Linked DNA regions of Saccharomyces cerevisiae S288C. The protein of the gene in region 1 interacts with the protein of each later gene in a pairwise test. Each region holds a gene or a part of one and is shown on either strand. Other genes may lie near its edges.

Region 1 (3,118 bases):
ACACTCATGTTGTTCGATGAACTCGCATTCCTTTTCCATGACCGCGTAAGCAACTTCGAAAAGGATATACTTCTAGTCCTTTCTGATCCAGTAGTAGGCCGTTGAAGGGAATCGTGTTCGTGTTCTTGCTCGTGGTCGCGCTCTTGTTCATGTTCGTGATGGTGTCCAGCCATATTCTCTTGCTGTTTTCCAAATGATACTACCTTCAAGGCCCCTGAACCTTCAAACCGGCGACTTTGCTGCCTTATATGCCGGTGAGTCCTTAAAACAGGAGAGTATCTCGTTCTTTAAAGCTCTTAGAATCTGTATCTCCAAATCACGCGCGACGGGAAGGCTCAAATAGAAACTGTGGTGGGTTAGATCTCAGTCTTTGTTTTCCTTTTAGGTTGTTTATGCTACATGTTTGATGCCATACGTATATGAGGCTACTACTACATATATAGCTGTGTATATAGTTGTCTTTTCGTCTTGCGTGCCCACACACAGAGATCTCGCTTGATTTATACCAGGTGTGGAGGTAACAGCAAGTTTGGAATGCCGTTCTTGATGTAATAGATATGTCCGCAGTTCCTACACTTCATTTCACCTTCGGCAATGGACGTCTGTAGCAGTAAAGTATGCAAGTCATTAAGGATGGCCATGTCGTCATCGGTGAGCTCCTGGATCGAAGATGGGAAGGATGGTTTGGTAGGAGGTAAGGCGTTGTTTCCCAATTCGGCAGCAACCGTGAGCACTGCAGGCCAGTCTACGCGGTCGACTATGTTCAGAAGGAATTCTGGATTGAACTCGATAGATTCATCCTGTACCAATTGGCATTTGCTGCCGTCGTACTGTAGGGGGAAGTTGTCGTTGCTGGTGTCACAGGCTTTAACGGAGCACTTTAGGAAGTTGGTGGTTAAGAACTTCATGTTGACTAGGCTAGTAATATGATGTGTAGAGCCGAAGAGATCATAGGATGCTACAGTAGCTTCATTGCTGGTGAAGTAGTTTTGCTTTTAAAGCTCATCGATGAAAATTTTACCCAAAAAGATACAGTTTCGTATGAGATGATGAGTGTGATTTGGGAGGTACATATTTACATGTTTTATTAAGAAGAGTCCGCCTGGATATCAGAAATGCGTTTCAGCAGCGCAACCACGTCCCTATTTTTGCTTAGAATTTGATAACAGGTTCTCTTCTCTGCCTGCGAAATGGTACCAAGTATTTGAGAGCGGTCTTCATCTCTCGGCAGTAGGATTCTGACGGTTGGCCCTGCGTGTTTCTTCTTGTTGCGTTGTAGGAAACAATTTAGTTTGAGGATGCTGATTAGTTTGAATATATTGTCATTATAGTCGTATTTGCAGCCTGTTTCTTGCAAGTTGATATATCCCTTGAGTAGTCGTGTGTATGTTTCCAGAGATATGCTCGGTACTGGCTTGTTGACAGATGGAGAATTTACATTAGGGAAAAAAAGTTGAGTACGTTCGTTGTAGGGATTCATTACAATTGAAGAGTATTTCTGGAATATCCTGTTATCCTGCATGGAGTCATTAATTAATATATCGTAAAAATCTTCTTCGGTTCTGTTGTCGTAGATATTATGGGGGAAAAGGAAGGAATGGTCGTACAGCCAAAGACCCAACAGTTTTTTTACCTCGTTAGATCGCACCTTTCCATAGAATTGCTTAAACTCACCCAAGGTCTTCAAACTGTTGTCGTGAAGTTCTGTGCAGATGAATTTCAATATCGTTGGGTATTTAGACCAGTTCGGCAGTTGAAAATTCTGCACTTTCTCAGGTGATGTCACTATCTTATCGAAATTTTTATTCCACAGGTCGTAGAACACGTCTATCCTTCGATGAGTACCTTGTACCTCTTTTCCCTTAGTCAAAAGCTCGACTTCACGCCGCCATTCCTCGCTGTTGTTATTTTGAGTCATGGTCGTGGGTTGAATAACATCTCGATACAGCATATAAGCATATAGCATGTGGAATATAGATGCCTTCGCACGCTGCGAGTCATAATCAGTGACATTTTCCCTCTTATTCAAAATCAAATCTCCTAAAGTATACTGTTTTATAGGGGTGTCTAACTTTGCGTTCTGCTCCTCGACTAAGGGATCTTCCCGGACATGTGCTACATCAGGTTGCTCCCATTTAATATCATCTTCTTCACCCCTCAATTCAATATCTCGTGGCAAGCTGAGGGCCGTAGTCTCGAGCTCTTCTCTCTGTTTCGCCAGGCTCACCTGTGCCGCCATCATCTGCTCTTCGAATGCTCTTTCACTGCTGATAGTAACCAGCGTATTATACGTAACAATGCCCATAAATGCGACAATATTAGTTGTGACAAACATCAAATTACCAGGCGCATTGAAGTATCTCCACAGTGTACGCAGATATGGGAATGTATCACCATTACAGCTCAGGAGAAGTCCGTTTGTCCTTGTGAAGTTTGTCACTGGTTTCTTCCTACTTCGAGAAAAATGCATATTCGTCTTAGAGTTTACGGAATAAAAACGCTTCCATAAAAGTCGCCATACTGTGCTAATACTCCTCTTCCCCTTTTTCAAATGCATCGTGTGTTTCCACGCCTGCTCGGGTGCCTTTGCTGTCTCCAAGCTACTGTTGTTATCCGTTTGTTTTATACTTTCCTTATTTTGTAATTTACTATTGGATGTATCTCCCCGCGTGAAGTCACTAGAACGGTTTAAAATAAAACTTTAATAAATTTATAAGCGTCAGCAAATACATATCAATAGAGAGCGTTTTCATTACATTGTTGTATTTTTATTCGATTGATTGTATATGTTTATATAAATGAATTAAATTGTTCTGATATTAACTGAAAATTACATTGCAAGCAACTGCCATGATGGCGAAGACCAACTTTCCTAATGGCAAACGCGTTTGCGATCCACTGCCCATATATTGGCTAATTGTTACCATTGATGAAGTTTGGTATTGTATGGAGATTGAAGTAGTGGAAACTTCTGTAGTGGTAACAGATGTTTGTAGAGAAGAGGGAGCAGATGATGATGAGAGGAAAATAGAAGATACCGTCGGAGTCAATGATGAAGATTCAATAGTCGATTCCACAGAGGTAGATGGTGTAGAGATAGATGTTGCGGAAAGTGATG
Region 2 (3,185 bases), on another chromosome or scaffold:
ACTAAGGGTTTTACTTTTAAGATTTTCAGAGTCCCATTTCAATGACTATTGGTCTATGATCAGTTACTGTTTACAAACTAATTTGCAAGAATTTTATGAATCACTTCAAATACAGTCAGAAGTCGATCCACAAACAATATTGCAAGTATGTAAAACTTTGGATTTGCTACTCTTACTCAACATGGAAGGCTTCACCTCTACGAATGAGTGGATCTTTGTTATTGATACAATAAATTGCGTATATAAAACGAACTCATTCGTCGCGCTGGTAGATGAAATCGCAGAATTCAAAGATTACGAAATAACCAAAACTGATGATCTTGAATTACCGACAACTTTAAAAGATGGTCTCCCATTATTACGAGGCATTCACAAAATCGAGAGACACACGCAACTAAGAAGCTTCTTCCAGAATTTGAGTTATCTACATTATGAGAAAGTTTACGGACTAGGGTCAGTTGATTTATATGGTTGTGGTGAAGATCTCAAAAAAGATATTCTGTCATGAGCATAGCTATGAATTTTTCTTTATAAACCGAAATATAGTTATACGCTTTGAGTAAAGACACAGGTTATCAATTATAACGTGAAAGGTTTTGCAACTGTCACCTTGTAAAGCTGTACACACTGAGGACTTCCCATCCCGCTTTTCTCGTTTCAATAAGTTTCACATTCCATTTGTAAGTATCGACAAACCTCTTAATGACTTCTTTAGGCTTATTTCTTGCACAAAATAATATATATGCAACACCATCTGGAGAAAGAATTTGTTCTAATTGTCGTAGCAGTTTATCAGTAATCGCCATCCCGTCTTTTCCACCCAATAACGCTAAATCTAGCCATTGGTCTGCCTCCTCTCTTGATCCTGGGACATCTGGCACACATTCTGCTGGCACATATGGTGGGTTAAATATTAGGACATCAACCTGATTATTCCGAATACTGGAGTTTAAATCAGCTTGAATCACTTCTAAAAAAGAACTTTTACATGAATTTAACTTCGCAGTATCCAAAGTTGCTTCGAGCGCCCATGGGTTGATATCAACAGCTAAGTGGATGGAATTTTCCTGCGGTATTATTTTGTTTTGCATTAGAAATGTTGTGACGATACCTGATCCCGAACCAATTTCGCAAACGATGGCCAAACGATTACCAAATTTCTGTTTCAAAAAATCATGCTCTTTTTCCAAACAGTCCAGTATGAGGAAGCTATCCTCAGCAGGCTCATATACTTTATCGTAATCGCATTTTACATAAGGGGTCGGTAGCATACTTCACCTTTCTCACCCTGTGTTAAGTTTATCAATATTATATTTCAGAGTATAATTATATCAATATTTATATGAAATCAAATTCCGATGGCGTCTTCGGGAAGGCAAACGAACAACTTTTAGCTGAAAAACCAAAATTCTGTTATTCAAATGAAGTATTCCGACAGAGGAATAAATAAAGGAAGGTAATTAACTTCCTTACAGCCGTAACCGATGATTGTTAAAGTGAAGACACTGACTGGGAAGGAGATCTCTGTTGAGCTGAAGGAATCAGATCTCGTATATCACATCAAGGAACTTTTGGAGGAAAAAGAAGGGATTCCACCATCTCAACAAAGACTTATATTCCAGGGAAAACAAATGTATGTTCATTCAGTGGTTAATTATCTTTTAAGTTTATTTACGTTTTTGAGACCTTACTAACGACCAGGATAGTGATGATAAATTAACAGTAACGGATGCACATCTAGTAGAGGGAATGCAACTCCACTTGGTATTAACACTAAGAGGTGGTAACTAGAACCATTTTCCGTCATTTATGGAATTTTATCGAAGGTGTTCATTAGAAAAGAAGACAAAACGAACATAAGTTCACTTGGACTTTGGAAGGCTACCGCCCCCAATTTGTCAAAAAAAAAAATACATACAATTTAGTCTATAGAGTCTGTTATAATAAATTAATTGTTTTTAGACGAGAAATGTGAACTAAAACTGTTTAGTATCTATCAAATTATCCGTTATAGCATAGTACGGCTATATATGGTCTGATTGCTGGTCTCATATGACTTTATGGTTTAAATTTCATAAAGCTGGCCATTGCATGGTTCGCGCTGGAAAGAGAGGAAAAGCGTGGTGATAAAGAGCAAACCAAGCATACTGTTATATGCGATTACAGACTATCTGACCAAAAGACATATTTCGCCATTTCTTCTCAATCATGTCTTCCAGGGCAATTTTGTAAGCACGATTGGATGTCCTCTTGTAGTATACCGAATTTCTCATTAAGAAAAGCATCCTTTGCGCTACAACTTTATCAAGTGGAAGTATATACTAAACTCGGAGCATGCTTTTGCCAACGATATCAGTCTTAGCAAAGGGACTTCTAAGGACGTTATTGACGCCTGATTAATCTAATCAAATATAGGTTTGTCATTTTTTTAAACCGAATGGATTGACTTTTGTTTTCATCATAAGTATTACTCTCTGATAGGATCTCTGTGGTACGCTAAAATCTATCTGAATTGTTTGGGACACTATGCATGAATTTCTTATCAGTTTAAAATTTCTATTAAGAGGATAATTTATTTCATATCTTGGGTAGATGAACCATTAGAAATGTTCGAAGTAGCTGCATTGTTATCTTCTGTTTTTGGATTTTCTAGTTGAGCTGTTGTATTCTGTGGAGCAAACTCCCCGGCAACACCACTGTCAGGATCTTGCGAAGAAACTTCCGAGCTTTTTATTTTGGTATTCTCTTCTGATATTTCTCCCTTTGGTTGCGTCTGTTCGCTCTTCAACTCATCTCCTTCTGTTTGAGAAGCGCTGTTTATACGTTGCGACTTAATTTTTTGCTCTCTTTCAGGAAACGAAGCCTCTTCTTCCAGTGCCCTCTTCTTTCTTTCCTTTCCAATCTTGTACTCCCTAGCATCCTGAAGTTTTTTCCTGTGCTCTTGATTGATTTTGTACAAAAGTTTCTCTTTGAAACTATCATCCAACGCTTCCACTTTTCTGGGTTCCTCGAACAAACCATCAACACCAGTCTTTTCGTTAACTTTATCAAAATCGAACAAGTATCGCGATCTTAGAAACCGTAAAGTTTGCCATTGTCTGATTATTTCATCTTTCGCTTCTCCACCGGAAGTTTCAGAAGAAATTTTTGATTCCCATTTCGCTTGGGCTGCTTCATAGACACCT

The links.
Region 2: the proteins of TRM112 (region 1) and MTQ2 interact in binary tests that used the Saccharomyces cerevisiae proteins (3 or more experiments, as listed by UniProt).

Annotation. Positions count from the first base shown.
Region 1 is NC_001146.8:705,578-708,695, reverse strand, and holds TRM112 (RNA methylation protein TRM112), read right to left. Parts: upstream 909-3,118; coding exon 501-908; downstream 1-500. Other genes in the region: serine/threonine protein kinase FPK1, read right to left, coding at 1-173; PET494 (Pet494p), read right to left, coding at 1,088-2,557; AGA1 (Aga1p), read right to left, coding at 2,820-3,118. UniProt on the Saccharomyces cerevisiae protein: Acts as an activator of both rRNA/tRNA and protein methyltransferases. Together with methyltransferase MTQ2, required for the methylation of eRF1 on 'Gln-182'.
Region 2 is NC_001136.10:732,224-735,408, reverse strand, and holds MTQ2 (S-adenosylmethionine-dependent methyltransferase), read right to left. Parts: upstream 1,272-3,185; coding exon 606-1,271; downstream 1-605. Other genes in the region: DOP1 (Dop1p), read left to right, coding at 1-508; NEDD8 family protein RUB1, read left to right, coding at 1,485-1,633, 1,707-1,791; HPR1 (Hpr1p), read right to left, coding at 2,573-3,185.